Pelodiscus sinensis: one gene and its partners. The protein of the gene in region 1 interacts with the protein of each later gene in a pairwise test. Links are inferred from orthologs where the notes say so. Each region holds a gene or a part of one and is shown in the gene's direction. Other genes may lie near its edges.

The links.
Region 2: the proteins of GFAP (region 1) and KIAA0408 interact in binary tests that used the Homo sapiens proteins (3 or more experiments, as listed by UniProt). The link is inferred for Pelodiscus sinensis from reciprocal best matches to the Homo sapiens genes GFAP and KIAA0408.
Region 3: the proteins of GFAP (region 1) and SH3YL1 interact in binary tests that used the Homo sapiens proteins (3 or more experiments, as listed by UniProt). The two-hybrid records come from large-scale screens. The link is inferred for Pelodiscus sinensis from reciprocal best matches to the Homo sapiens genes GFAP and SH3YL1.
Region 4: the proteins of GFAP (region 1) and PDZK1 interact in binary tests that used the Homo sapiens proteins (3 or more experiments, as listed by UniProt). The link is inferred for Pelodiscus sinensis from reciprocal best matches to the Homo sapiens genes GFAP and PDZK1.

The regions. Positions count from the first base shown.
Region 1 is NC_134739.1:200,940-208,868, reverse strand, and holds the start of GFAP (glial fibrillary acidic protein), read left to right. Parts: upstream 1-4,427; 5' UTR 4,428-4,479; coding exon 4,480-4,994; intron 4,995-7,929.
Region 2 is NC_134713.1:90,711,712-90,719,792, reverse strand, and holds the start of KIAA0408 (uncharacterized protein KIAA0408 homolog), read left to right. Parts: upstream 1-4,742; 5' UTR 4,743-5,006; intron 5,007-8,081.
Region 3 is NC_134713.1:35,446,347-35,454,217, forward strand, and holds the start of SH3YL1 (SH3 domain-containing YSC84-like protein 1), read left to right. Parts: upstream 1-4,552; 5' UTR 4,553-4,710; coding exon 4,711-4,711; intron 4,712-7,871. Other genes in the region: ACP1 (low molecular weight phosphotyrosine protein phosphatase), read right to left, coding at 4,234-4,276.
Region 4 is NC_134711.1:163,350,578-163,358,713, reverse strand, and holds the start of PDZK1 (Na(+)/H(+) exchange regulatory cofactor NHE-RF3), read left to right. Parts: upstream 1-4,557; 5' UTR 4,558-4,699; intron 4,700-8,136. UniProt on the Homo sapiens protein: A scaffold protein that connects plasma membrane proteins and regulatory components, regulating their surface expression in epithelial cells apical domains.

The DNA.
Region 1 (7,929 bases):
TGTGCTGGGTTCCCACAGCCCTGGGCCCGTCTGGGCTGGCTCTGGCTGGTCCCTGGCTGAGCGCTGGCGGGACGCACCCTGGACAGAAGCGGGAGCCGAGTCTGGCCGTGGCCCGGGCCCAGCAAAGAGCCTTTGTGGAGCTGTCGGCTCCTGGCCGGGAAGCGGATGGATGAGCTGTCCCAGGAAGGGCATAGCTGAGCCTGCCTCTGGCTCTCCATAGTGAGGCCCCAGGGCGCAGGGCCCCAGGCAGCGGGGGGGGGGGGGGCAGAGCAGGGGCTCTGCTATTTCCAGCTGGGGTGGGGGGAGGAGGCTGAAGAGGAACTGGAGCTGGGCCGGGGGCCGAGGGGCCGAGGGGCGATGAGGCGCCGGGACCTGGACCAGGCGATGGGGGGGGGGACCAGAGCTCTCGGCTCACTCGGGGAGGGAGAGGGGCTCGTGGCATTGGGGGCCGACAGGGCGACTCGAGGGTTCTCCCATGTGGGGCAGAGGGGGGTGGCCCGGGGACTAGTGAGGGGCCTGGCATTCTCAGCAGGGGTCTGCCCCCCCACTCTCTGGCCGGCAGGGGGCAGAGCCAGGTGGCCGCAGGAGGGGCCAGAGGGGCTCAGTGGCTGTGGCTGGTGAGGGTGGGGGCAGATCCCAGCCCTGGGCCCTGGACCCACTCAGGCTGCATCACTCAGGAAGGGGTGGGAGCAGAGGTAGGGAGTGGGCGAGCAGGGATGAGACAAGGCAGAGAGCAGAGGTGGGAGGAGGCGGGAAGAAGGGGGAGCAGGGGGGGAGCAGGAGTGGAGGGAGGCGGGAGCAGGGGCGGGAAGAGGGGGAAGCAGGGGTGGGAAGAGGGGGGAGCAGAGGTGGGAGGAGGCGGGAAGAGGGGGGAGCAGGGGTGGGAGGAGGCGGGAAGAGGGGGGAGCAGGGGGGAGCAGGAGTGGGGGGAGGCGGGAGCAGGGGCGGGAAGAGGCAGGAGTAGGGGCGGGAAGAGGGGGGAGCAGGGGGGAGCAGGAGTGGGGGGAGGCGGGAGCAGGGGCGGGAAGAGGCAGGAGTAGGGGCGGGAAGAGGGGGGAGCAGGGGGGAGCAGGAGTGGGGGGAGGCGGGAGTAGGGGCGGGAAGAGGGGGAAGCACGGGTGGGAGGAGGCGGGAAGAGGGGGGAGCAGGGGAGGAGCAGGAGTGGGGGGAGGCGGGAGTAGGGGCGGGAAGAGGGGGAAGCAGGGGTGGGAGGAGGTGGGGAGAGGGGGGAGCAGGGGCCAGGCGTGGTGTTGAGGGGGGTGGGGCCAGTGTCCCATCCCCCTCTCACCAGTCGCCCCGGTGGTAGATGTCCAGGCGTGAAACGGGAGGGCGGTTTGTGCCCGTCCGTGGCGCGAAGCCGGTCTCTGGCCCAAGCCGGAGCTGGCCGCGTGCCTGGGGGCCGGGAAGAGGAGGCTGCTGACCAGGCACGTGGCCCCAGCCACGGGGATCAGCGACCGGCGGGAGCCAGGCCGGCCGGGGAGGGCTCTGCGGCTCTGCACGGGGCTCTCGCCCAGGCCTGCCTGGTGGGTCTGTCCCACTGCTCAGGGTCTGGCTGCCATGTTTGGGGCTGGGAAGGAATTGAACCCCGGTCAGATTGGCGGAGGGAGGTGACTCTGCACGCTGGCCCCGCCTCCAGCCCCAGCCCCGCAGCTCCCATTGGCCGGGAGTGCAGCCACTGGGAGCGGCGCTTGCGGGTGTGGGCAGCGTGCAGCGCGACCCCCCCCGGGGACACAGGGACATGCTGGAAGCTTCCGGGCGCGGCGCAGGGCCAGGGCAGGCAGGGACCCTGCGGCTCCAACACCCAGGGGCTGCCTGAGGTAATTGCCGCCCGGCCAGAGCCTGCTCCCTGCACCCCCGGTCCCAGCCTGGTGAAAGTGAGGGAGGGGGTGGGGCCTCTGGAAGGGGGCGGGGCAGGGTCTCTGGGAAGGGGCGGGGCCTCAGGGAAGGGGCGGGGCAGGAGCGTGTGCATTGCCGCCGCTGGGTCCTCGCAGAGCTCACGGGAGGCCAGCTCAGCTCAGCTCCCGGCGCACCATGTCCCTGTCGGCCAGGCACAGGGCGCCGCCGGCTGGCAGTGGGGGAGCCCAGGCCCTGGGCCGCCCGGAGAGCCCCCAACTCCCACCCCCGGGGCCAGGAAGAGCCCACAAGAGACGGGAAGGGGACAAGTGGCCAGAACGTCTCTGGCCCCCTCCCAAATTCGTCCTGACTAAGCCCAGCCCCAGTGTGAGCTGGAAGGGCCTGGTGGCGGGAGCCCCGCCAAGGACCCTCCTTCCGGCGCCTCGGGCACTCGGCGTCCTTGGCTGGTGGCCTGCCGCCTCCCATGCAGCTTTGGTCCTTGTGCTGAGCTGGCACCGAGGGCGCCCAGCGTGCGGCCACCACAATTACCTGCTCTCAGGCCCGGGCACCGCAGGGCCTGCCCCCAGCCCTGCTCCGCCCGCCAGCGCTCCTCCCGGCCTGGGAACAGGGCCCCGGAGCCCTGAGCGCCGCCCGGCTCGCCCTGCTGGGCCCGGCAGCATCCCGGGGAGAACCGGGAGCAGCCGCACGTCTCCGCAGCGTTCCCAGAGCCGCTGGGCTGGCAGCCAAGCCCAGAGCTCCCAGCGACACGGAGCGGGAGTCTCGTAATTAGCTTCTGGCGCGGCTTGGACACTTCAAAGACTCTTTCTAGTCAAGACAAAGCCAAGTTCTGTGCTCCGGTCGCTTTGGCGGGGAGCCGCCGGGACGGCCGCGCAGAGCTGGCACTGGGCAGGGCGGGGGGCAGGCAGGAGCAGGGCCCATCTCACTGGCGCTGGCGTCGCCCCCTGGAAGCAAACACATCCCGAGGACAATCCACACACACTCAGTTTGCACACACGTGCACAGCGTGCACACCCTTTGTACACACTCACACACCCACACACAGCCCTCACATCCCGGACATATGCTCACCCTTCCCATCCCCCTACAAAACCACATCCACCCCTCGCACAGCCACGTGTACCCCCTGCACACACGTCCCTCGCACACTTCTTACCCCGGGGAGCCCTGCTGACGTGCCCTTTGTACATCCGTCCCTTGCACACTCCTTTCCCCGGGGAGCCCTGCTGACGTGCCCTTTGTACACCCGTCCCTCGCACACTCCTTTCCCCGGGGAGCCCTGCTGACGTGCCCTTTGTACACCCGTCCCTTGCACACTCCTTTGCCCGGGGAGCCCTGCTGACGTGCCCTTTGTACATCCGTCCCTTGCACACTCCTTTGCCCGGGGAGCCCTGCTGACGTGCCCTTTGTACACCCGTCCCTTGCACACTCCTTTGCCCGGGGAGCCCTGCTGACGTGCCCTTTGTACACCCGTTCCTTGCACACTCCTTTCCCCACGGAGCCCTGCTGACGTGCCCTTTGTACACCCGTCCCTTGCACACTCCTTTGCCCGGGGAGCCCTGCTGACGTGCCCTTTGTACACCCGTTCCTTGCACACTCCTTTCCCCACGGAGCCCTGCTGACGTGCCCTTTGTACACCCGTCCCTTGCACACTCCTTTGCCCGGGGAGCCCTGCTGACGTGCCCTTTGTACACCCGTCCCTTGCACACTCCTTTGCCCGGGGAGCCCTGCTGACGTGCCCTTTGTACACCCGTTCCTTGCACACTCCTTTCCCCACGGAGCCCTGCTGACGTGCCCTTTGTACACCCGTCCCTTGCACACTCCTTTGCCCGGGGAGCCCTGCTGACATGCCCTTTGTACACCCGTCCCTTGCACACTTCTTTTCCCGGGGAGCCCTGCTGACGTGCCCTTTGTACACCTGTCCCTTGCACACTCCTTTCTCCGCGGAGCCCTGCTGACGTGCCCTTTGCACACACATCCCTTGCACCCTCCTTTGCCCGGGGAGCCCTGCTGACGTGCCCTTTAAACACCCGTCCCATGCACACTCCTTTCACAGGGGAGCCCTACTGACATGCCCTTTGTACACCCGTCCCTTGCACCCTCCTTTGCCCGGGGAGCCCTGCTGACGTGCCCTTGCACACACATCCCTTGTACGTTCCTTTGCCCGGGGAGCGCTGCTGTGTCCCGGGGCCTGGCTGCGGTGCCTGGCACGCCCTGTGCTTACAGGAAAGGCTGCGGTCACTCCTGCCAGTCTCTGGGATGCTGGGAAGGGGCACGGGCAGGCCAGGCTGTCCCCTGCCGCAGCCGCCTGCCAGGAACACGCAGCCACGAAATGAGTTCATGGGAAGCTGGTGCCCGCCCACCAGAGGGGCCGGGGCTCCGGGAGCAGGGGCAGGGGCAGGTCCTTCCGCGTTTGTTCTCCTGGCCCAAAGCAATAGCCGAGGCGTTCTGCCTGCTCTGCCGTCCTTTGTTCCCCTGCCAGGGGCCTGGGCAGTTGGCCTGGTACACGGCGGGCTCTAGGACCTGGCTCACAACGCCACCTCCGCCCGCCCCCGGGCTGGTCCTCTATAAACCCGGCTGCACAGGGAGAGTTCCCAGGCTGGCCCCGGCTCAGGCACAGCCGGGAGGATGAGCCTGAGGATGGAGAGCCAGCGCCTGTCCTCCTACCGGCGCCGCTTCGGCCCGCAGGCTGCTGCCGGCCACCAGCCCCTCCGGGCCTCGCCCCTCATGTGGCTCCTCTCCCCCAGCCCCAGCCCCCGAGTCTCCATGACCAAGAGGAGGAGCTCGAGCCTGAGCATCCAGGCCAGCTCCAGGGTCCCCCCGGGCAAGGCAGACTTCTCCCTGGCCGAGGCGCTCAACTCCGAGTTCAAGGAGACGCGCACCAACGAGAAGGTGGAGATGATGGAGCTGAACGATCGCTTCGCCAGCTACATCGAGAAGGTGCGCTTCCTGGAGCAGCAGAACAAGGTGCTGGCGGCGGAGCTCAACCAGATCCGGGACAAGGAGCCCACCAAGCTGGCCGACATCTACCAGGAGGAGCTGAGGGAGCTGCGCCGGCAGGTGGACCAGCTGTCCAATGCCAAGACCCGGCTGGAGATTGAGCGGGACAACCTGCTGGAGGACACCAACGGCCTCCGGCAGAAGTAAGGAGCCGCCTGGACGGGCCGACGGCTCTGCAGCCGGAGCGGGCGCGGGGAACGGCCCGGTGGTAACCAGGCTTCGCCGCGAGGGCAGCGACTAACGCGGAGTAGCTGCAGTTCTGGGGGGACCCTGGGTGTGGGCATGAAGGCAGGGGGAGCAGGGACTGGATTAGCGGGAAGGCGGGGGTGCAGGGGCCAGGCGTTAAGAGGAAGGGGGGTGCAGGGGCCGGGCGTTAAGAGGAAGGGGGGTGCAGGGGCCCAGTTAGCGGGGAGGCGGGGGTGCAGGGGCCAGGCGTTAAGAGGAAGGGGGGTGCAGGGGCCGGGCGTTAAGAGGAAGGGGGGTGCAGGGGCCGGGCGTTAAGAGGAAGGGGGGTGCAGGGGCCCAGTTAGCGGGGAGGCGGGGGTGCAGGGGCCAGGCGTTAAGAGGAAGGGGGGTGCAGGGGCCGGGCGTTAAGAGGAAGGGGGGTGCAGGGGCCCAGTTAGCGGGGAGGCGGGGGTGCAGGGGCCGGGCGTTAAGAGGAAGGGGGGTGCAGGGGCCGGGCGTTAAGAGGAAGGGGGGTGCAGGGGCCCAGTTAGTGGGGAGGCGGGGGTGCAGGGGCCGGGCGTTAAGAGGAAGGGGGGGTGCAGGGCTGTTTTAGCGGGGAGACAGGGTGCAGGGACCGGTGGTTATTATGCCAGCTGGAGCCCACCTCTGCCATTCACCTGCTGGCCAGTCACGTCCCCGCTCTGCGCCCAGCTGCCCCGGCGGGTGGCTTTGGACGGGCTCTGCGGGTGGGGAGAGCTCAGTGGAGCCAACTCCGCCCCGGTAACCGACCGGCCCACTGGTGAGAGATTACGCTGCCCACACCCGCACGGCCCCGTGTGCCCGCACCAGATGGGCCTGTACACGTTGCCTGGCACACGTCTGTGCCTGCACTAGCAGCTGGATTGCAGGGCGGCAGCTGGCCCAGGCCTCAGGGGGGCACGAGCGTGGCAGCCCCGGGCCTGCGTAGCCTGGCTCACACTCCGACCTCTCGTGCGCCGGTGGTGAGAGACGTGCACCGTTCCTGGCACAACCCACACGGGTCGAGACACCAGAAACGACCTTAACCTGGGAGCCAGATGGCAGAATGTGGGAGGGTGGCCGAAGAGGTGACGGTTCGCCAGCCTCAGACAGAGGTTTGCTTGTGGGGGTTGCTGGCTCTTTCTAGAGGCAGTGTTGTCTAATGGTTAGTGCAATGGAGGGGAGTTTGACTTTCAGGATCCCAGTTGCCGTGCTGGGAGGGGAGAGTGCTCTGACAGCACATGGAAAATCATGACTCCTGAGTTCTGCTTGGAGAGAGGACGGGGTCTAGGTGCAGGCAGCAGGGGCTTGGAGTCGTAACTGCTGGGTCCTCACCACTCACTGTGGGCAAGAGCTGGGCTGGGCAGTAACTCTCGACGGGGCCACGCCAAGATTTTGGTGAGGGATCAAGAGCCGCGCTTGTCTACGGATGGGGTGCGGGATCGGGGTGGAGGCTGGGTGCAGAAGGGAGCTTAGGGTTCAGCCTGGGACAGGGGATTGGGGTGCAGGGTCTGGGAGGAGCTCTGGCCACAGGAGAGGATTCTGGCCTGGGGGAGGGGTGCGAGAGGGGGTTCAGGGTCTGGGAGGGAGTTGGGGTGTGGGAGGGGGTGCGGTGCCAGAGGCAGGCTCTGGTGGGGGGACACTTACTTAAGCAGCCCCTGACCGCTCTGTGCCAAGTGGCTCTCTGTGCGGGGGGGGCTTCACACAGTGCCTCTGCCCCCAGCAAAATCTCTCAGCTCCACTGGCCGATGGAGGGTGAGCGATTTGCTGCGGGCAGGGATCGCACGAAGCCTCCCCCACCACAGCACAGAAGCCACAGGGAGCAGCCAGTCACTTTGAGCAGCGCTGCTACCTGCCCGGGGGGGGGGGGGGGGCGATTACAAGGGCTGTCGGCCTGGATCCAGCCATGGGCTTTATCTTGCCCACCCTCGGGCAAGAGGCTATTTGCTGCGCTGGAGGGGTAATTGCAGAGTCCTAGCGCTGCAGGGAGCTACAGACACGCTCGTTTTCGTTGCACTGGGGAAGGGCTCACGATTGTTGCTGCTGGCGAGACCTCGGTGGGAGGTGCCCCGTGCAGTTCTGTTCGTCAGAGAGCTCTGATTGGTCGAAGCGGAGCTGTCCGGGGAGGGACGGTGGGGACGCATCGCTGGGTTCGGGCGCAGTAGTTTGGGAATGGCCGAAACAGCCCATTGCTGCATTTCCACTTTGGCGGGGAGCGCCTGGTGCTCTCCAGGTTCCACAACAGCTTCTGTAACAGGTTAAGACATAAAAAGGACAGAACTGAAACAAACCGGACCAAGCGCCCTCGGCACGTGTCACGTTACTGGGGCGAGAGACATTTTTGCCCTTTCTTGCCCCGATCCAGGATGAGAAACAAGGTGGGTCTGTTCCGACCTCTCCCAGGCGGGGCACCCAGCACCCCCACCCGGCGCTCACCGTCAGGGGCGCACGAGCCTTGGTGGGACTCTGGCAAACACCCGCAACGGGGGCCAGATTCCTGTTCGGCTTATGGTGAGTTCAGCCCTTGAGCCAATCAGGCCTCCGCTGTGTTTGCTGAGCCCTTGAAAACCTGGCTCAGGGCCCGTTGAAAACCCTGGCCCTGGTGTCTCTGGAGCTCCGGTGAGGTGGAGGGTCCGTCCTTCCTCAGGCTACCTCTGGTCTCTTGCGCCCGTGAGCTGTCTGGGCTGGGCCGTCTCTCCCTCTCTGTCCCGGCAGCCTGGGGCTCGCTGGGCCTACGTGTGACAGCACGCACTAGTGACACCCTGCGCTGCGGACAAAGCCAGCAGGTCACAAGCCGAGGTGTGAAGGGCGACATCCCTGGCGAGTCAGCCCCCCTCGCACGCACACCAGACACACACACACGCCCAGCTCTCACCCAACAGCCCCGCACAGACA
Region 2 (8,081 bases), on another chromosome or scaffold:
CTAAGCCAGACAAGTTTAGTTACATTTACAGGAGATAATGCCACCAGCCTTTTCTTTATATTGTCACCTGATGGGAACGGGTGTTCACATGGCACTGTTGTAGCCGGCATTGTAAGGCATTTATATGCCAGATATACAAATATTCTAATGCCCTTTCCTACTTCCACCATTCTAGAGGGCCTGCTTCCATGCTGATGGTGGAGTCTGCTAAATAACAACCCAAAGCAGTGCACAGTGACACACATTCATTTTCATCATTTGAGTCAGATACCACTAAGAGAAGGGGAATTTTCTTTTTTGATGGTGTAAGTTCTGTAGTTTCTGCAGAGTGTAGCTCTTTTACTTTTAGGACTTCTGACAGCATGTCCCACAATTCATCCCTCTCAATGTTTGGAAGGCACTTCAGATACTTAAACCTTGGGTCAAGTACTATAGCTATCTTAAGAAATTTCACTTTGTTACCTTCTTTGGCTGAACAAGAAATAAGACTGAGTGGACTTATAAGCTCAAGCTTTATATATTTTTGGTTTTGAATGCAGTTATGTTAAAAAAATTTACATTTTTGAAACTGCAAGTGCACGATAAAGAGATTGCACTACAGTACTCTTATTAGATGAACTGAAAAATACTATTTTTAGTCTTTTTACAGTGAAAATATTTGTAATAAAAATAGTAGTGTAACATTAGCTCTGTACACTTTGTATTCTGTGTTGTAATTGAAATCAATATATTTGAAAGCAGAGAAAAATCCAAAAAGATTTATAATTTTAAATTCATATTCTGTAATTGTTTAAAAGCAAAATTAAAACTATAATGAATTGCAATTACTTTTTTATCTTGTGATTATTTTTTAATCATTTGGCATCACTGAAGATACTGTCAAATGTTCAACAGTATGGTAGCACTGTAAAAAAAAAATGAACATTTTAGCTCATTCTCTGGCCTTCGCAGATTTCCCACAAGGGCAGACTCTGAATGTATTTTTTCTTTGAATACAACCAGAGAAATTGAGTCAAGTCTGTTTCCTTTTAACATCCAGATGTACATTCTTTTAAATAGTAAATGCCTCTAAACTATTTTCTAAATTGTAACTGCAAAGTAACTTGCACCTATGAAAATAAATGGTAGTTTGAAAGATCTTGTTCAGGAACAAAGATATTTATTTAATCTGAAAATATGTGTGTCTGCAGTTCCATATTACAGATATAATAAGACATGGGTTTGCTGACATTTGTCGCAAATGCTTTAGAATAAGAACTGGAAGAGAGCAGGTGCCCATATGAAACAGAAATATACCCAGCAGTTGGAGTATAGAAAACTGTCAAAACAATATCTGTCTAAATATGCATTATAAAAAAAGATGAACTGCACATGAACTTGAAGGATTGTTTACATAAACAAGTAGAGCTTTTGAGTATAACAAGCCATTTCTTCTAATCAGCCCAGAATAAGAGGGTCTATTATCACCTATCATCTACTAACTTACATTTCGGACACTGTTATTTTCTTTTAGTGATGGGGAAACAATATGCAAGACCAGTTTCTGCCATAAGTTATGCAGTATTTATTGGCAAGCTATGCTGTAATTTAGGAGAGAAAACATGTTATAAATGTCTATCATAGATTTCCAATGTGACCTTGAGCAAGTTGCATGATGTAACCTTTCTGTGACTCTGTTCCCCCAACTGTAAATTGTGAATAATATTCCCCTCCCTTATAGAGGTGTCCGTAAAGTCATGGGGGTTGCACAGTTGCAATTGTATTTTCTACCAAACCCCTTTTGCGATTGGAATTTAGTTACCGAGTCTGCTGGTGTATGAAAAGTAATAGAATACAGGAATTTTTTTTTTGTAGCCATGTTGACTCTGGTAAATCTTTTAAGAGGAGTAAATCTTTATTCTCGTCACAAAGGGCTAGATCGTGCCCAGAATAGGGGGACCATGTGCAGTTGCATTGCCTCACTGAGAGTTTGAGGAGACACTTAACAGAAAAAAATTCTCTGAACTCTCCGACTTTAATGGGAACATGCCTGCTATTTCATTCTTTTCTTGGAGGCAATTTGCTAGCTGGGTGTCTCCATTCTGCTGTGCATGCTGGTTGGGGGAGCATGCTTTTCCCTCGGGGCAAGCAATTTTGCCTGGTCTTTAAACAGGCTAGAGACAGGGGAAGGCTTCTTGTGCCCTCCCAATCACAGCATGCCCATGTAAGAGTCATGTATACTCTGCCAGTGGTGCCAGCCACACTGGGATCTTGTCTGCTGAATAAGTAGATGCTATTTTAAAACAGTCATTTTCAGGTAGAATCATACTTTAAAAGTAAAATGGAAGGCTCAAATTCTGCCCTCAGGCAAAAACCCCATTTGACTTTCAGGGAGCTGCATAGGGTCAATGCAGAAACACATCTCCTTCATAGTCCCATAAATTTTCATTCTAATCTTCTAATACCCTAACTGACTGCAGGGGAGCTACAATCCTTAGACACCTTTTTGTGTGGCTCACAACATAGACTTCAGTTTGCCTTAGGTCTGGCTTCCTACTGAGTTGCATCATTTTATTCACAGAGCTAACCCTCAAGACCTTGCTCTGTTTTTAGTCGGTCCTCATTCTGACTTGAAGGCAAATCTCAAGTGAATGTCAGTAAAAACTGAGGTCACAATTTGTAAGAGTCTGTGTTTTAATATTTTGTTTCACAGCACTTGGATGACAATAGGCACCAATTTAGTAAAATTTAAATAAATACATTGGAATGATAGTCTATATTTAAGGAACTATAGGATTAAAAGTTCTTAAGATCATACTCCGCCCCTCCTTTTACACCTGTGCAGCCTTGTTGACTCCATTGAAGTTGTGAGAAGAGGGTTGGATCCATAATCCTCAATTAGGGGCTCAGTCCTGCTCCATTTTACATAGGCACAGCTGAGTTGTTTGAGTGTAACTGAGGGCAGAAAGTATCTCTGGGGTTTTAAACAAGAAGGATTTTTAAATGAATGGGCTGAGGATTTTCCTCAGGAACCATCTGTCACATTCAATCATCTTTCTTCTTTCTAAAAAATGGCTTTTGAAACTTGTATAAACAGTCCGAGTCCCATGGCACATCTTTCACAGGGGCAGAGTAAGCACCCAAGTAATATCTTCACTTAGTCTCTGACCATATAAGGAGAAAAAATGTATTTTCACTGCAACCAACTTTGGTGTTGACTGTAAAATGCACCCTCAGCTGAAACTCTTCTATTGTACATTTGTTTTAACATAGGCACACCTTGTCATTCCAAAGGGGGAAAGTGCTGAGTAAGTGATCCCCACAGCGCCTAGGCAGACTATCTCCTTGATCCCACAAGCAAATGCTATTGTTTGTAAGATGCTCAGATTCTGCTCTGGAGGGCCTGAACATTGTTCCCATTCAAGGCAATTAGAATAGCACTCACATGCCTAATAGCAGATGCCCACCAGTCTTCTGTTCAGCACTGCCAGAAGCCGCTGCATACATCTGGAGATGAGCCATGCACAATATAAGTCAATGCAGGTTGCAAATGGTTGAGGGCACAAGTAATCTTAGACCCCAACCTCAGGGTGTAAGCAGAGGCCATCTCAGTTGTAGTTCCCCAGCACAGATAAGCTCCTGAACCACTACTGGTGAAATATGGAAGTGGGGGCAGAAAAGAGACATGTCTCCATTTTCCTGATGCTTTGCCGATGGCAAAGTAGTATGCATCCCGCTCCCCCATACTTGCACACCTTGGGGCTCCTTGGGTCAGATCCCTGCCAAAGTTCCTGCTGAGATTATGTAGGTCCACACCATATCCAGAACAGATCAAATACCAAATGAGCATGGAATTTATAATCTACAGTGAAATGCAACAACACTATTCAATTAGATAGGCAAATACAAGGATTTGTCACAGTGGGCTAGATTCTCTACCCCACTCCATTCAGGCTCCATGGAGAGTAGGGGTATGGTGGTTGTAGCTCCCTAATTCTCCGCTGTCTAGCACCAGCCTAGGTCAGTGTTGCAGAGTAGCAGCTCAAATTTATATAGGCATAAGGTACTTCACTAATGTTACACCTGTGGAGGATATTTGGTAGCAGACCTCAACTTAATCATACACACCCTTTACCTCAAGCCTATCTTGTTTGTCTCCTCCCTCCTCTTGTGCCAGGGTTGTGGGGTGCAGCTGAAACAAGAGACATCTTCCATCATCTCTCCCAGGTTTCTGCCAGCGAAGGGATGTAAAGTAGTAAAAATATTTGTATATATTTTGAATGAGTCATTGTCAGCATTCCTAGAATACAAATAAGATCGGATTACACAATGAGTTGTACTGTCTTATTTCAGAAATGATACTATAATTGAATACAAAAAATAAAGCTTTTAGGGTGGGGGAAAGTGGGTGTTTTAGGGGAGCTGTGGATCATGAAAAGTTGCTCTTATAAACAAATGTACTTTAACAACACAGCTCCTAAAGAACTTAAAATGTGCCCCTCAAAACTGGGTGTGGAATGTAGAAAAGAATCCTACTTTAAAACACAGGGTTGCCTTTAACTAATAAAAGAAATCTAAAATTGTCCATTGTCATAGCTTTAACATTGACATTGGTTGCTTTGGCAAGCTTTAAATACTAGGCTGCACTATAAAACCTAAAAATGTCCTGGACTTGAAGTTGTTTACACAAAATATGAGCAGATATAAAGTTACAGAGGTGGGGGTGGAAGAAATGGCTTTAAAACCATCCTCCATGTACTGACGTCACATGGAACCCAGCTGCCGGGAGGATGCCAAATAGAACTGTTTTTCAGTTTGCAAAACTGAAGTTGTGAAGTTAATCAAAGAGAGTTGCAGTGCTGCTCCGATTGAAAAGTTCTCTCTTTCCTGGCTTCTTGTTTTCTTAAAGGATCAGGATTCACAGAACTGGAACTCCTTATCCCATCTAGCTATGCATTTCACTGCTTTCACTACTACACTGAGAAATGGACTGAAAAACTTCTGAAGGATTGCTTACTCCACAAAAGGTAAGGACGTTTGGAAATCTCAGTGATTTTGGAAGAATTATGGCCTTATTTATGAAATAGAAAAGAAAGTTAACAATACTCAGTATTAAGGCAGTAAACAGTTTGACCAAGGTTTCTTGTAAACATCTGCCTCATTTTTATATTTGCACCTAGAGCAATAATAATTTAAAAGTGTGATGGTGGTTGTTTATTTCTTAAAGAAAGGCTGTTCCATGGTTCAGCCAGTGTTTCCAAACCATGGAATGATTTATTAACAAGAAAGAGATGACAGCCCATTTTTGCCAACCTTTTGTTTTTAAATAATAGAATGACACTCTGAGAGTTTCTTATAGGTTTAATACAAAGTGCATAAAAACTATGATGCCGACCATTTCTTTACAAATATATAAATAGACCTATCATTTATTATCCATCCAGAAACCATCACCTTATCTTACTGTGAATTAACCACTCATAAAAAAGAAGAAGATCTGTTTATCTGAATAGCTGTGTATGTCCGCTATCGTTAATCTGTGGTGAAAAATAACACCTCTTCTGATGTCGCAGCACATTATTTTTAGAAGTTGTCATACCACATCAGAAATTCAGTTCAAATTATTTTGCATTTTTATATGAACATAGAGGGGAGGTGGAGGGAAGAAAGAGTAACATTAGAGACCAGGAGTTGCCTAAACTCTTTATTTGAGAGGAGGAAAGGGTACAGTGAAAAGATAAATACAGCTGATGTTGACAAAATTGATTATTTGCATAAAGTTGATTGCTGTAATGAGCTTTTGACCTTGTCTAGGACATGTGGAAAGTGCCAATATAGCCAGATTTCAGACACTGTAATGTTCCACAAGGCAAATGAAAATCATGGTTGTGCTGGGGTGATAGGCTTTCACATGTGAAAGAAAAAGGTATTTTAATAAAAAGGAAGCAGGGTTTTTTTTTCATTTGTTTGTTTTGCTCAAGCCATGTGGAGTACCTGTGGGAACAGCCCAGTGTTTTATACAAATGGTGAGTTTAATAGCAGTATTAGCGATTGGGATCTTATTTCTAGCTTTCAGAGAGAAAGAAGCAAAGAAAGAGACAACTATAGGGGCAGGGGTCAAAGTCCTCTGAGGCAGTGTTTCTCAACCTTTTTTTTAATAAAGTACCCCCTCTTTAAATAAATATATATATATATATATATATATATATATATATATAGAAATATATATATATATATATATAAAAATACCCCCAGTACCTACAGTTTTCAGACACACAATTTTTTTTCTACTATTGCAACACATTTGTTTAAACAACTTAATCATAGCCGGGAAGGCAATGACATTTTTGGGTGTAAAAAGTACAAAAATAATAAAACATTGTAAAATTTAAAACAAAAATTCAGTTATCTCCAAATTTCAGTTGTGCTGACATACCCCTTCCTCCCCCAGACTTCTCTTGAGTACCTCTAAGGGTACTCATACCACTAGTTGAGAAACACTGCTCTAAGGAATTTACTCGGTAGATTTACTGCAGTAGCGGCCATCAGAGCAAACATCAACAATCATGAGCTTCACTATTATTATTTGCATCTTAAGAGGAAACGTGAAGGGAATAAGAAGTGATATGAAAAGGAAAAGAAACCATGAATGAGAGAGAGAAGCACTTTTGATGGAAAATTACAGTTACAAGCAACTAGTTGCAGCTAACTTTTTCTGGGACTTCATTGCATTTTGATAGTTTCCACTCTGTACCCATCTCAATATGTCTTTAGTTTGTTTTTGCACTGATCTTTGCTGCATGTATCTGAATCATTCAAGAGAAGTCAAGTGAGTGAATAGAGAGATCAGTTTGGTTAATTCCTCCGAAGTCTCTTGAATAAGTTAAAAACGTCTATTAAAAAAGTGAATTACTTCTGGTATGTCCTTCTCCTCCCCAATCTTCCTTCCCCCACAACTTTTGTAGTAAATAAATGAAAAAAAAATTGATATGACTAGATATGCTTCATAGATTGAAACAGATATTCAATATATTGAGTTCAGTTGGCTGAAAAAACTCAGAAAGTGGGTGCTGCTCATGTTGCGGATCCAGCCAAATCAATCTTTTTTGCCCAATAAAGGGGTGAGGAGAGCTTTGCATGAGGCTCAAAAGGGAATTACAAAATTAGATGTAAACTAGTCTACTATATATTTGAGAGAGTTTGTGCATCTGTTTGTCTGTCCATCTGTGCATCTGTTTGTTCAAGAACTCCTCCTGAACCATAAGAGTTAGGACTACCAAATTTAGTCTGCAGCTTCCTCTTATCATAATTTAAAGCAAGGTCAGATTTTTGGTTGTTCCAGGACAATGGGATGTGCATGGATTGTGATTGTTTCTCATCAAATGGAACAAGGGGGCTGTGATAGCAGGAGAGTTATACTCCAGAATAACCACAGAGGGGGAGCAAGCAAGCATGCCCCCAGCAGCCTCTGAGAGCCACAGAGCAGCTGCCATCTGGGCAACATGGCCCCCATTGGCCTCAGGGGGCAACACTATCACCCTCTAGGACCCAAGCAACACCAGGTAATTCTTTTAGTAATCACTACATTAAAGGAAACATGTTCAATAAAGGGAGTAGTTCTTCGTGATCTTACAAATTACATTGACACAACCACTGATCACGAACCAATGCAATCTGCAAGTTTATTGTGAAAAGATATGAATATATATGTTCACTTGATTAACACAACTGTCTGTTCTGAAACCCAAATTTAAGGAACACACAAACTGAATACAGTACATCGTACCATGTATGACTACTGAACTGTCACTCCCTAGAATGCATTAATTGATGTGATTCTCACCTTTTGCTTGTGTAAATCAGTAGTAACTCTACTGAAGTCAGTGGAGTTACTGATGTAAAAAACTGACTAAGTGAGAATCAGGTCTATAAAATCTATCACCATTCAATAAAATTTTCCCTCTACAATTATATCATAATATAACAACATTACTTAGCACTTGTCCATCGATAAAACTCAGATTTTTACATAGGGTGGTGGGGTTCATGAGCTGTACTTTTACAGAAAGGGAAATAGAGTTGCTGAAAGTTTACATGATTTT
Region 3 (7,871 bases), on another chromosome or scaffold:
AGGCACAGCCGGACTATCGGAAGGGGGGGAGGGGCTATGAGGGGGTCTGTGGTGGTATCCCCCCCACACCACCCCAGACTCTTCAGCCCGGCATATCTGATAATCCGGCACCCCCTGGGTCCTAAAGGTGCTGGACTATCGGAAGTTTACTGTATATCAATATCCGCCTTTAAAACGAGGCATTCACCTATCTTATTACTTAGACTTCTAGCATTTGTGTATAAGCACTTTAAAAATTTATCTGTCTGCCATTTCCTGATGTGTTAGATTCTTTTTCATTTGATTGTCTCATCTGATCTGACCCATATTTTATCATCTTTCATCCACTCCTAACTAGAACATAGAAAATCTCTATTAATAGACCTTCCCCTAAGAGATGTCTCTGTCTAATCCATGTGCATCTCCGCACCCATCGGCTTTTACCCAGCCCTTAGTTTAAAAACTGCTCTACAACCTTTTCCATATTACATAGAACCAGTTAACCAATTCAACAGGATTTTACAGAGGTAGTTTACATCAATGCAACTTAATTGGAAATTACCAGAGTTAACTGCACCTGTGTAAACCCCATTTTAGATTTAGATGCAGTTACCCTAGAGCAAATTTCTCTAGTGTAAAGAGGCATTAAGACAAGTCATTGCTCCAGTATTTATTGGAGGAGAGTATCATTTAATGCATCACCAAATACACTTTTGGCAGTATATCAGGGCCTCCTGTTCAAATACATATCTGGGCTGACATCCTTGCTATGTGAGTTTCTGTGATCATAACTTAATACAGCTGCAAAAGCTTTTATAAAAAGGTTAAAAAAATATTTTCATGTGTGAGGAAACCAAATGACTGCATAACAGTTTTCTCCAGAAGGTATGTTTTTTCTTCACTACTTTTTAATAGTAAGGACATGTCCCCTTAATCCCTTCTACCTGAAGCAGAAAACAAAAGTGATTATTTCTACAGCTTTCATCAAGCAAAGAACTAAGTTTATATTAGTAAGCTATTGTCCATATGGCTGAGGCTTTTCAATCACTATGTAAAATATAATGTTTATTACTCCTAAACATACAGCAAGGCAGGGGTAGGCAACAAGAGACTCAGGGGGGCTGGATGTAGTTTGCCAGGGTTAACCCTGACATGGTAAAGCACGTCCAGCCTGTGGGCTGCTTATTGCCTACCCTGGGATTAGAGAATAGAGCAGACAACTGAAAGTTAGGGAAAGAACACAGGAGCTCTAAATTGTCGCATGCCTGTGGATAAAATCAACTACAAGACACACAGAATTTAACAATCTGCATGTAGGGTATAATCTGCCAGTTACTGGCACTAGGAAAATTAATGGATGAGCACCTACAACAAAAGATACTATACAAGTGTAAAAAGAATATATATATATATATATATATTTTTAAAAAGTCTACCCTTAAATTAAATAAAAACTTCAACTTGTTCTCCTTTTCTCAGTCCCAATTTCTCTTTTATGTATTTGGGTTATTTGCATTGTTGTATGTTTAATTTATAGTTCACTGAGAAGAAAAAAAAATCAGCAATGATCTAATTAGGCATGTATTAATTAGATATTTTGCTGCATAATGAATATCAGTTTCTCTTGTTATAAACAGAAAGCAGATAAGTGAATATTTGACTATTATTTTTTTTTCCGAAACAAATGCATAAGAAAACAATCTGACTGTCTGAACCCTTTTACACTGTGGAATTAACTCTCAAGAGCATAGGAGTATCTTCAGAAATGATAGGCTGTTTCACCCCTCAGACAACTGAACACTTGAATTATTGAAAGTTTCAGATATTTAAAGTGTGGATTAAAAATAACATTTATAATTTTGAATTGACTGGACTCTCAGTTTTATTCTTTGAATAAAATATTACATATACTTAATGTTAATAGTCTATCAAGATCATTTTTAGAGCACAGGAAATTTTAGACCACTACAAGTTGAACGAGGGGATTTTCCATACCAGGGGAGGTCTCTCCCAACATGGCCTGTGCTGTTCTGCTGCCTGCCTCCGCCCCAGCTAGGGCTACTGCCTGGCCCTGCTACTGCCTGCCTGGCCATGGCTAGTCAGGCTGGAACTCCGTAGCTGCTGCAGCCAGACCTAAGCTCCGCAGTCAGAGCTCTGCAGCCACAGCTGAATCCCAAGCTCTGCGGCCAGAGCTCCACAGCCATTTCCAGACCCCAAGCTCCAATGGCTGGAGCTCCACAGCCACTGTGGGACCCCAAACTCTGCAGCCGGGGCTGGAGCTCCCTGGCTGCAGCTGGGGCCAGAGCTCTGCGGCCACTGCTGAACCCTACTACCTCCTGGCCACAGGGAGAAGTCTCTGCTACACCACCCACCCCTCTGCACACATTCCCTCCCCAATGGGGCTCCCTGGTGAGTTGCCGCCCCCATGGCCAGACCTCCCTATACCTGGGCTCTCTGGTCCAGGAACATCCCTGGTCCTGCCAGACCATGGATGTTGCCAGACCAGAGAGTCCTGGTTAAGGCAGGTAAAACCTGTAGAAAAACACCACAAAACTCAACAATGGCAGAAAGAAAGCACAATTCAGTCTTAAAATTATATTTTAAATGAATGAAACTGACAGGTCAGCATTTATTACAAAAAATAAGCTCTCCCACACATCATTCAGCCTTTGTTGTCATATGACTCCAACTCTTTGGGTAACTAATATAAGGAAAACATTCAAGGGAGTTAACATTCATTACAATCATTTCAGATCAATCACTTGTTCTTTCAGACTTTATTCATCCTTCCCTGAAAATAGTTAATATGATTTATTCTCTCCATTCCCAAATTTCTCTAGTATTATTTAACACTGAGCTAAACACACAGAGCAAGCCATGTCCCTGCCCCAGAGAGTTTACAATCTAGAGGTGCTCTATTAGTGGTTATTAGCTGTTTAATTAATTGTAGACAGAAGACATTAAACTGTAATTTGCTGTGTAATGAATATCAATTTTTCATTATAAATACAAGGCAGATATGGTTTCATAACAGGTCTAATTTAACAAATGAAGACTGGCCTTCTCAAGGATCATCTTAGCTTGCCACACTCTTATATTATGATGTCAGTGTGTAGACAACGACACGATTAAGCGATAACCATAGGTTTATCAGCTAAACCTGCTGGCTACATGTATCCCTCCCTCCCTACACCATTCTGCCTCTGAATAAGAGGCAGCAAGGGGGGGGTGACGGCTTTTAAGCAGTCTCTCCACGAGCACAGGATCTGCATGCCATCCCCACTCTTGTGCTGCTGCCTCTGATAGAGAGGCAGCAGAGAGGAGAGTGAGGGGGGCAGGCAGGAGTTGATACATGCAAGGAGCCAACTCCCCCGAGCATCAACAACACAGACCCACCAACTCACCCCACCCTCCCCGGCGCTGCTGCCACTGCAAAGGCTGCTCTGCAGCAGCAGCCTCTGTTTCTGGTGGATTCAAGCTCCTCGCGGACAGAGGATGCTCTGTGCCAGTCTGTGCAAGGAGATGCTTTTTATAGATGTAGGAGCGGGACCTGGCAGGAGGTTCTCCAGGAGCGGGGCTAGGAGCTTACTAGGGCTGACCCCACTCCCAGGGACTATTGAATAGTCATGTAACCACTACAATTCAGTAATTATGTAACTGCATCAAATTACATGCTATCTAATATATATCCAATATCCCTATTTCTAAGTGAAATTCTTCTCATTTCTCTTCACTGATGTTTATCTTGTTTATTTCAGGAAATTCAGAAGTTTGTTTACAGCCTTTCTTCCAAACCTGGTGTCACACACACATGCATATTCTCTGCCCCATTAAATAGCTCACCCATAAAAACACGATAGTATCATAACCAGAACCTTCGCTGCAAACTCTATCGGGGAGATACTAAGCATGAACATGTAGCCTGCGGCTACACGTACTATGACCCTGTATCAAGGCCTCTGGGCACAGACCACAGCTCCTTGGGAGTGGAGTGAGCAAGCAGACTAGGAAGGGGAACGTGGATAGGAAAGACTCGAACTGCGTATTAAAGGAGCAGGGGGCTCCTCAGCTACGCAGGGTGCACCTCTATCCTCCCTCCATTGAGTCACTCACCTTCATCTGCTTCCTGGGGAGCTGGGGGGAACCTACTCGGGAGGGCACGGGCTCTACTCTTACCCCTCCCCAGCCCGCCCTTCCTGCGGCTGCTGCCCCGGAACGGCCCCTCTCTCCCCTGCGCGGCCGCCCCGCACTCACCCAGGCACACGAAAAGCACAGACTTCACATCCCCAGCCGCCATCTTCCTCCCCCGGCCGAACCAAAAAGAAGAAGGGTCCTTCCTTCGGGCTTCTTCCCTTTGCCAGACCGTCGCGAAAACTTCCCCGCGCTTTGCGGCGCCGCACGTTAACGGCGTCTATTGTGTGTGCCTGATAGGAAGTGAAGGTGGGGAATAAAAGGCACTACAATATTCTCGCACAGTCTGGCAAAGCCACTGGGGCCCGAATAATAAACCCATCATGGCGTTGACGTGTGTAAAAACATCAGGCACTTGTATGGACAACCCCTCTATCCCTCCCAGCTGCACCTGTCCCAGGTGAGCAGCTCCCAGGGGCCCTTCCTTCACCTTGCAGCAGGCAATCAGGGCTGCGAGATAGTTTGGGCCTGGCAGCGTCCTCTCGCCTCTTCCCAGTACTGTGCAGCTGTAGCCAGGAGCCTCTGGAAGGTGTTCCAAGAAGTGAGTATGGAGGCTGCTGTGCTTTCAGGCCGGGGAAGGGGGCCAGCCCTATGCTGGGAAAGGATCGTGGTTCTTGGGGTCCTACCTTCCCAACTCCTACTGGGGAGGTGGAAATTGGGTGTAAGTCTACACCTCAAAATTAAGTTGACTTAGATCAACCTGTGGCTATTGCAGTACTTAAAACGTTTTTGCAGGTTAGCACTTGCACCTTCTGTCAGTATTGTGCACCCTCACCAAGAGTGCTTGTGTAAGTCTTCTGCCAGGTAGCACCAGCAGCAGCCAGGACTGGGTTCAATATCTAAGGGTTCCTCTGCATCCATCCAACATAAAACTGGTGTGAGCCTCCACTCAGTAACCTGGGAAATTCACACAATACTCTATGGGTGCCTCTGAGAGGCAATGCTTCCCCACTCCAAGCAGAGAGTCTGAGTGGAGAAAAAAAACCTTTAATAAAAGGGGAGGGAACTAGTGTGTCATTAATTTGGGAAAAACACATGGTTTGTAACCAAAACCATGAGAAACAGTCCTACCCCAAGTAGGTTGGACACTGTCCTTTTCCTCTTGACTTGTTAAATCCAGCAATGTAAATGTCCCCTTCATGTGCCCAATCCTTCTCTGCACACCACTCACAATTGCTGTCCTTGGTCAGGACAAACCCAGAGTTCAGAGGTGCATCTGCAGAGTTCGCCTCTCATCCTGAGTGGGGGGAGATAAGGAGGCATCTTACTCCATTAGTCACTACCATCCAGCTGCTCTCTGCATTGCTGGCCATTTGTCTCACCTTGCTGCTGTTGCTCTGCTGGCCGCTCTTTACATCTCTCCATCGCTGTCCTGCTGGCTGCTTTTTTGCTTCTCCATTGTCACTCTGCTGGCTGTTCATCGTGCTGCCGACACTCTGCTAACCACTTGTCAGCATCTTTCACTGGCTTGTGGTGAATTTGGCTCTGGGCCAAATTTAGTGATTTCAATTCTTGGCCCAAAGTACAGTCCAGCCACAAGAAATTCCAGCATACATTAGAGTAATTTTAAACTAATAAAGAGACTCCTTATGGCATATGCTCTAGTTCTATCATTAGAATAGAGTGCAGGGGGGAACAGGTTGAACCCATCTTATAGCTCACACCTGGAGGGCATGTAGCTTGCCGATTCAGAGCATTCTACTCTTCCCCCAGATAAGGTCACAAAGCTTTGGCAGGTGAGACCTTGTGTATCCAAGGTTCTTTACACTGACATTCTCTCTCCTTTTGAACTGAGCTAAACACAGACTGACTTTTCTGCATTCCTACAATAACTGCAAGCACTGGTGATCATATCTCAAAATTCCTGAATTTAGTGTCAACACAGTTTGTGACTCTGTGACAACCAAACTGGTTACAATGAGCAAAACACTATTGTAACAGCTGAATATCTAACACATCTAAGCAAATCAGGGGCAAACTGTATTTACATAAACACATCCAGGATTTCTTTCCCGTTCCAACCTGCTGTAATGGAAGCATTGATTCAGACCCTGCTTACACTTGCAATAATTTAACTGTCAGTGTGAGGCATGATAGTGCACTGGCAGCTGGAGTGCTCCACCAGGATAGGCAGCCAGCTAGAGTTATTATTTTTCAATTTGTGATAGAAGGAATCTTTCCCTCTTCCTTCCCTGGGCAAGGCTGCTGCAACCCATACCCCTCAGTAGTTATTTACAGCATCTACAGAGAATGCATTTAGATAATGTTAGCACAGTTTTCTTAAGCTGTGGAAGTAGGAGTACTGCAGCACCTTTAGCAGGACAGAGAAGCTTTTAACTTAGATATCCCAGTGTATTGTGACTATTACTAAATGTTGCTTTAGACCTATGTGGAAAAAAAACCCCTCACAGATTAAAGAACTTTTTGGGCAACTGGCAAATCCATAAAAAAGCCCAACCACGCTGATTAAATTCCAATCAGGTGATGACCCTGGCAGCTGGAATGCTACTACTCTGAGTATCAGCTCAGCACAGTGGGCTTCTGGTCTTTTAACTGCCAGTCTGATGTAAGCAATGTAGTGTCAATGCTAATGCAGCATTGACAAAACCATATTGACCAAAATTGTCACACCTTTTTCAGAGATGAAGTTGTTCAGTCAGTATACTAGGTGACTTGCACAAGCAGGAGCAATATTGTAGTGTAGCAATTTTTAGAAATAAGCCAATATAAGACAGCTTCCATTAATCTAACTCTGTAGTGTAGACCAGGCCTAAGTTAGGTATTCCTCTTGCATCAATAGCCCCCTAAGCCCATAAATCCTGACATCAGTGTGCCATAAAAGCTAATCTTTGGGATCTGCTGGAAGGTGGAACTGGCTATTTTTTTGTTCCCTATCTTGCAAATTATACAGCTTAAATATATAAAATTTATTTTCCAATGCTTCATCAAAAACCTACAAACAAAAAATGTTATTGCAGCTCAATGCAACACTACTACAAAAAACACAGTCTATACTGGGATTCTAGGGGAGCCTGCTGAATTTCAAGTCTTCAGTTTTCATTGGAATATAGAACATAGATACTACAACTGCACCTTTAAAATCTGGCTCCAAATTTCTGATCTGACATTTTGATCCTTTGAGATTTTGGCCAGAAATTGGATAACCATATTAGTGAAATGGGGAATAAGTGTTGCCTCTCCCATTTAATCAAAATAATCTGGCTCTTAGCACTTCCTGATAAAAGCAACTTTCATGTGCTCTAATTTGATAACTGTATTGGGCTGATTGAAATAATCTTGATCTGCACTACCATCTTCTAGTTCTGTTGCCTAAATTTAGTCATGGTTGATAAACATTTATTTTTTTCTTTTTCAAAATAAACCTCTTTAAAATGTGAAAACGTGGCAACCTATATTAAGGACTAAATTCACTATAATCTGTAAAAAGTAATTTGAACTACATTTTAAAAAAAACATGCTTCCTGCTAGTTCTGTAACCTTTAGTGGAAACCACTGGCTAAGGACCTGGAACCAGGTTTGGGTGAACACCTGCTTTTGACTGCAGTAGTCTCTTCTGCAGGTGAATAGACTATATTTTCTTCTTTATTCAGCTAATTCATTTAAATTAAATGATTAATTCATTCAAAGTTGAAAAATGGATTGGGAGTTAAAAAAGAAAAGCTTGTTTTTCTTCTTGTAAT
Region 4 (8,136 bases), on another chromosome or scaffold:
CAGCCATGTGCCCCCTCAGCCTGAGGAAAGGCTGGGACAACTCCCCTCCATCTCAGGTCCTGCCTCTCACCACCCTTGCTCCACCTTTTTCCACTCCCCTGAGCTATGCGGCCTCGGGGACTAGCAGAGCTGGCAGCAGGGGCTGTCCTCTTCCCTCCTCCCCATACTCACCAGCAGCAGTGAGGCAAGTGGAGCAAGGTGGCCCTAGCTTGCTCTGCTTCCTCAGCCCCAATGCTCTGCTTTCCGGCAGTGAGTGTGGAGCCGTCCCGTCTGTCCCGTAAGAGATGTGACCAAAGGAGCACTGCAAGCTGGGGCCGCTGCTCCACTTGGCCTGCTGCTGGTGGTGAGTGTGGCAGGGGGCAGAGCCCAGCTGTAGGTACTAGACCCACCTCCCACTAGTTTCCCCGTTGGCTACTGGCTGGTCCCTTTCCCCTCCCACCCAAAGTGCTTGGGAAATTCATGCCACGTGCAGGCAGATGCTGCAGCTAAAGCTGGCTGCTGTGCGGTGGCTCAGGGGGCCAGGGCTGGGGTACATAAATATTAGCAGATGGGAGAACCTGAAAAGGCAAATAGCTAAGATGGGAAGGAACAAGAGCGAGCAAGTGCACTAACCAGGCCCTGAGCTACCACAGCCAGGATTTAGGTAAAGATGAATTAATCAAGGAGAGAATGACAAGGTTGTCATTGTTATAAATGGAACTCACTGCTTGTCTTGGAATATTAGAATCACAGTATTAAACTGTCCTGCCTCTGTATTGACAAGTCGTGCCATACTTGATGTTTCCTTAGCGCTCCTGCTCCTGGAATCAGGTGATTCTATGTGAATATCAACTTTCTATTTTTGAACTAACCATCTGGACCCCACAATGGCAGAGATATGTAGAGCCCTGTGGTGAGACAAAATTGGGATCCACAGCTGCAAAAATGATCCACAGATGCCCATGGACAGGGCTTGACAAATCATGTAATATACTCGCCTGTGGCGAGTAGATTACAAGCCGGCACAGCCAGCGTCACACGATCTGCGCATGCGCAGCGCGATCTACACATGCGCGGCTTGCAGAACTGTGCGGCTGGCGAGTGGGGCTCGCCGCCACTTGGCGAACCCTGCCCATGGACATAAGGCAAGTATCTGCAAATTATGCCTGGTTCTAGATCCAAAATGATATCTGTAGCTGCACCCGTATCTGCAAAAATGAGTCATGGATATCCGCATCTGTGGATATCAAGTGCATATCTGTGGATTTGCAGGGCTCTAGAGATATGCTTGTAAACCAGCCTTCCCATAGGGTGTGCAGGTGGGGAGGTTGATAGATATAGATAAGCAAGATACTGTATTAATCAGCAACACTTCAGGTTTCAAATATGTGCCTCTCCTTGCCAGCTGAATGTGGCACTGCAACCACTCCCTGCCTCCATTTTTTAAAATTTTATTCTTTTATAACACAAATCTTCAGAAGCATTTTACAGCTTAATGATAATCTTAGTAGATAAAAAGTACTCCAGTATTAATTGACCTGTGGAACCAGGCTTTTTCTGTTGCCCTTGGGATTCACGTGGCTTAGCCCTCTAGCTGGGTCACGCTCAGAGTTCAATTCTCTTCTGGGATCAGAGAAGTCCAAACAAAACAAAACATTCTTTCACACCCGGCTTGGGCCCCCCTCAGCCCACCCTCTGGGCTCAGGCTATCTTTTAATCTTTCTGGGATGCAGGGGCCTCTCCCAAGCTCTTTCCTTGAAATCCTCTTACAGTCTTGGCCCCTTTGGGATATCTTTGAGTCTTCCCTGCTCTGGAAGACCCTGCTTCAGGGCCCCTTTATAGGAGTATAACTTGCTCACTGTAGTTCCTCCCCCAAAATCAGTTCCTCCAGCCCCTCTTATGGGGGCATCTATACAACAAAGTGGCAGAAAGTCTCAGAGCCTGGGGCAACAGCTTCATGTTTGTGTGATGGTGCTAAAAACAGCAGTATAGACATTGTGGCATGACCCATGAAGCACACACTCCTCCCTAAGCTACAAAGTCCATGTTTTTTATTTTTAGCACTGTAACATGAGCTCAAGTCTCTAGTCTCGGGCATTGAGAATCCCTGCCACTTGCTGTGTAGGTATATAGGGTTGCCAGGCCTCCAGGATTGTCCTGGAGTCTCCAGGAATTAAAGATTAATCTTTCATTAAAGACTGTCATGTGATGAAACCTCCAGGAAATCACCCAACCAAAATCAGCAACCTTAGACATATTCTATGAGGTCCAGGTGTTTCAGGCAATTACATGATGCCTATTAATTCAGCCCATTCCCCCATCCGGAGCCTGGATGGCAGTCAAGCTCCAGTGGATGTCTGGTGCAGAAACTAGCTGCACTGCAGTGCCAAAAAGCATTAGCACTGGCCACCTCACTACCCACTCAGGTTTGGCCCCTCTGCCATGAAGGAGGGACAGTATGTTAAAATTTGAGTGATTGGCATTGCAACCTGATGCAGAGTGCAATGGAATTCTGGTTGACTCCCTTTGCCTCCCCCAAATTGGCCCTAGGCACATGCCTAGCTTGTCTATGCTTTAATGTGGCCCATATGCTTGCTTACTCACTCAATACTGCACCCTCATCCTTCCACAAAGCCCCATGCCCTGACCTCATTGCTCTACTGTTCGTGCACCCACATGCATTCTCCTACCCAGCTGCTGGGTCAAACCCACCACACTCATTCCCAAAGAACATTGCCAGCCCCATTCCCATTTACCAATTTTCCTATAACTCACTCACCATAGGAAGAGAATCCCAATCCCTCACCCTCAGCTGGTAGACACTCCCCAACACTACCTCCCTCAAACCCCTGCTTGCCCTCTGGAACCTACCCACACAGCCTACCCCCCTTCTTCTGCCCCTCTGGCCATCTCTGCCTCTACTTCAGTTGGAAGATGTTATAGGCTATGTCTACACTGCATGCTTATTTCAAAACAACAGAGTGTGTGTCTACACAGCAAGCCCATTATTTCAAAACTATTTTGAAATAACAGGCTTCTTAGTCCGAGCTCCGTAACCCTCGTTTCACAAGGAGCAAGGGAAGTTCAAGAGAGTTCCTCCTTCGACTTCCTGATGCGTAGACAGCGCCAAGAGCCAAGTTAAGCTACTTCAACTTCAGTTACACAATTAATGTAGCTGAAATTGCATATCTTGACTTTAGCCTGCAGTGTAGACATACCCATAGAGGCGCAAATTACTGTTCTCAAAACAATACATGGGCTGTTAGAGCCTCATCTGTATCCACCAAGCTCATTGAGTCAACTGGCCCTTAGTGAATATCAATGAAGCTACTTTGCATCAACAAAACCTCCCGACACATTACCCAAATAGCATGCTGCTCCTAGAGACTTAGGTTCTAGTCCCACCTCCACAACTTCTGGGTGACCTCAGACATGTTGCTTTTCACCTCTCTGCCTCTGTTTCCTTATCTAGCCTTTGTCACTCACCTGTTTACATTGCAAGCTGTTTGAAGCAGGGATTCTGTCTTACCATGTGTTTGTCTAGCACCTACCAGAATGGGCTTCAATCTTTATTGAGGCCTCTGGACACTATTGTAATACAAATAATTCCTACCCTCAGAATGCATATGGAGTCCCATGCCCAACATCCAGAAGGAAGATTTTCATGCATCTCCACATTCATCCTGCCTATATGCAAAGATCATATTAATGCAATATTCAGACAGATTTCGATGCCTTTTACTTCCACCCCTCTAGCCTCTTGGGACTGTCTGTTCCTATTCTTTAGCTCATAACAGACATGGATATAATGCATCACAGATTCCCAGGCCTGCCCATGGAGAGGACGGGGCCAAAGGAGCAACTGTTGTCGGGCCCAGCAATACAAAAGAGTATTGGGGTCTTATCTACCACTACCGCAGTAGCTGGAACTCTGGGCCCTTTAAATCACTGCCAGAGGGCTGGGAGGAGGGGTAGGGAGGCTGTGGTCCAGGCAGTGCTGAAAGGTGGCTATCCACAGCCATGCCTCCTTCCACCTGAGGCCCCGCCCCTTCCAGGGGCACAGAGTAGGGGGCTCTGCCTTGCTCAGGGCCCAGCAAGGCTGTTGGCCCCACTGCTGATTCCACAGAAAATTTGCTCACGGTTACACAGGCAAATATCTTAAGTTTACTTTTCCTTGTCAACGGAGCTGATTTGCTAAGGAAACAATCAGATATTAACCATGGAACCTCACAATGCCATTTTGCAACAGTGTAACTAAGGCAGTTATTAATTTGGAGACTATAACCAGTAGAGGTACAACAGACGCGTTCTTTCCAATAGCTGAGTCCCTGTCACCAGAGCCTGCCTGCCAATGCTCATTTCTAGTGGTTGAAACTTGTCTTGGATCTGCTCTATGTGAGCCCTTGTCTGTTTTAGGGGAAAGCTCTTACCAAGAGCAAAGATCAGGCTTATCTTGGATCTGCTCCCTGTAAAAGTCTGAGTTTGACAGTATAATGATCAATAAAACCCCAGAGCAGAATTCAAAGTTGCTGAGAAAGGAGAAGTGATTTGCACCACTGCAGGCAGGTTATCAAGGAGGTGAATACATGAAGTAAGACTCAGTTAAATAGATAATCTTTTAACTCAACCTTTGCACAGTCCAAATTCAGCTGTACCTACAGGCAAAGCCACAGGAGAGACTGCTGAGAATTCCCTAGGGGACAGCACCCTGCAGACACGGGTAAGAACTTCCCTTCTTTCTTTACTAACCCTTGCCCCCAAACCTCCCAGGAGTTACTACCCTGGTTACCTTTTTAGGTTGTTTACCCCTATTCCTCAAAGCTTTTGTGCAGCAAAAGGAGTATTAGCATTAAGCCCCATGCTAGCTTCCCCACTCCCCCCCTGAGGTGCATGAGTTCAATATCTGCCATTTCCGGCACCTGCAGATTTCTTCGGCTTGGTTTTCGCTGGGATTTATCTCTATTTCAGGGACTGGTGAAAACTCCTAGGATATTTCTACACTGCCCCCGTTTTGCGCAAAAAAATATGCAAATGAGGCAAAGCATGGAATATCACAGCACTTCATTTACATAATTAATGAGGCTCTGTTTTTGTGCAAGAGGCTTGTGCGCAAAAAAGAGCCATCTACACAGCTCCTTTTTGCGCAAAAACCCTCTCTTGTCAAGAGCCATTCTTCCTGAAAAAAAATGCGGAAGAACAGCTCTTACAAAGAGGTTTTTGCGCAAAAGCCTCTTCCGCAAAAACGAAGCCTAATTTATTATGCAAATGAGATGCAGCGATATTCCACGCTTCGCCTCATTTGCATATTTTTTGTGCAAAACGGGGGCAGTGTAAACATAGCCCTAGAGCAGGGTTTCCCAACCTATGGGTTGGGACCCAAATATGGGTCGCCATTACATTTCAAAAGTGTCTCCACAGGTGGCTCTGCCTCCCCACCTCCCCCCATTTTTGAATTGCCTTGGGTCACCAAGTCTTCCTGCATTGTCAAAATGGGTCCCCATCTGGAAAAGGTTGGGAACCGCTGCCCTAGAGTATTTAGAACAAGCCACTATGCGCTGCAATTTTCACAAATGCAGCCTGCTCCAGTTTAAAGCAGGTCAGTTCCACAAGGGCAAGTGGTTGCTTTGCCTGTCTACATGGAGGATTTGTCATAATACCAGTGCATGGGGGATAGAATCAGGGCAAATCGTGACTTTTCAAAGGAAAGGCAGGTAAATTGTGTGCTGTGGTCTCCTCTTTACCTATAGGAGAGCTGTGTTTGGGATTAGAATCTCTACCAGGAGAAATTTTCAAAATTGGGTTTAGGAAAGGATGCACCTGCTACAACTGAATTTACTTCAGTCTTAATTTCTCTTTTGTGGATATGTTCAGTGCTAAGTATTGCAGTATATTCAATCTTTCCAGCTATGGGCAGGGTCCTAAGCTGACAAAACTGTATCTTCCTTCAGCTTCCATAACACATCTGTGCCCATCTGACTTTCAATATGCTAGCTGACCTAACTCACCCATATCCTTTCACCTATAGGGGCAATCATCTTTTAATAAACGGGGAGGAGGAGATTGTTTTTGAGCTTGTTTATACATGAAAATTAACTTATTATGAAATCTGGTGTGAATTTAAAGCATCTTTTCCTTGCAAACCTTTGCGGGCACTCTTATTCAAGAAAAAGAGTATCTTAAATTCTGACTTTGTTAAATAGCACCAGAATGAGAGGGGTCACACAGAGAGTTAATCTGGAATAATTATTCCAGATTATAATCTGATTGTTAAGAGTGATATGTGCATGTGGGCCTGTCTATCCATCTTTAGGGGGATAGCAACAATACAGAGAACAATTTGGAGGGACAAGTCAGCAGCTAGAGCTTCGCTGGCATTAATGGGATCTTGGACAAATTTTGTCAATGCTTCTTAGAAATAGTCTTGTTAATTATCTCCACACCCACAAAGTCCCAGGCCAGACCATCCCTGCAACATGGGCCTATTTCTTTATAAACGAGCCCAATTTATTTTGAATAGCTCTCTCTCTAGTCACAAAGCTTCTCATGGACTCTGCTGACCTAGGCTAGCATCCTGTGGGTGGTCAGAGAGAGTAGTTCAGAGTCACAAACCTGAATTGATTAGAATACCAGACAGCTGAAACGAGACAGAGTTTCTACATATATCATCCACAAGGTCTGGCGCATAAGGAGAGAAACACAGAGTACCTAGGAAATCTTTACAGCAGGACAGGTGATCACATGGACCGTATTTATCTGGGCTGCGATTAATGTGTAATTTGTACATCACAGCTTGCCTTGGTCACATGACAGCTTTTTCTCTTAGTGATAAGCAGACAAAAGTCCATCCAAAGGGTTATCAGTCATTAACTACATAATTACACAGATTTTTTTGAAGAGCCAGTCAGAGAAAGATGTGTTAGTAAACCACAACACTCACTAGGATAGCTCTTTGGCAGGAGCTGTTGAACAGTGAAATTGCCTCCCCCTGGACCTGCTCCCCAGAGTGAACCTTATTTCCCATGTATTACATTTTCCCTTGTTGTGCATTTTATAATGGTCAGGCACAGAAAAGAAAAAAAAAAGAAGAGTTCCATCCCACCGACTAGTAATATCCCAAAGACCCATCTGGCTACACAGTCAGTTGGCCCTGAATTCTGCCAGAAAGTGCTCTGGTTTGCATGGCAGGCTGGGGCAACAGATTGGAAATTCAGCATCAATTAATACTTAAAAACTTGAGTTTTTCAATGAATTAAATGGAAAGTAATGAACCCAGTCCATACAGCAACCTACTGTTTCTGTAATTCCTTCAAGATATGTAACTTCCTCCAAAGTGTGAAAATATTTTTGTACATCATTGCACTGTAGAGGTCATCAGGGCAGAAAGCTGGAAGATCTGGCAATTAGATAGGTAGTGGGCGGAGATCTTTGGTACCTGAGAATACAGGTTAAGATTGTGGTATAAGCACATTATCTAGACATTTGTGCTCTAATGACCAGCAGCAAAAGATTTAAAACCCCTTTCCAAACCCACAAAGCCTTCTCTGTGCTAGCACAGCCCAGTTTTGTAGGTGTGCATCCAAAGGAGTTTTTCCACAGGTGTAATATTACTACCTGAGGGTATGTCTACACTACCACCCTAGTTCGAACTAGGGTGGTAGTGTAGACATACCCTTAGGGACATTAGCCCACTTCTGTTAATATACCTGCATCTACACTGAAGGCTTTGGCAGCATAGCTATGTCAGCGGGGGTGTGTGGATTTTCACACCTCTGACCAACATAGCTAAGCTAGTATAAGTTTTAAGTATAGCTCAGGATAGAAGGGACTCAAAATATTTAGTACACCCACATTTTTTCCTTAGCATCTTTTTCTTCTCTCCTCCATTACAGCAGAAACATCTGCAATAGCAATGCCTACCTTTAGTTCTCTGCTCCTGAAGTCTGAGTATGAAGAACACTATCAGAGCCAAAGGACTTTCGGCCCCTTCTGTCTCAGATATTTGAATTTCATATGTGGGACTGTCAGCACTTAAAGGGGACCAATGAAGTCCTTGGTTTCACTTCAGATTAATTCTGTTTAGCCAAAAACACTAAAAGGGTCACTTTGCTCAAAACAAGCAAGCAAGCTATCTAGCTTGCTTTCTCTTGACCTCCTCTA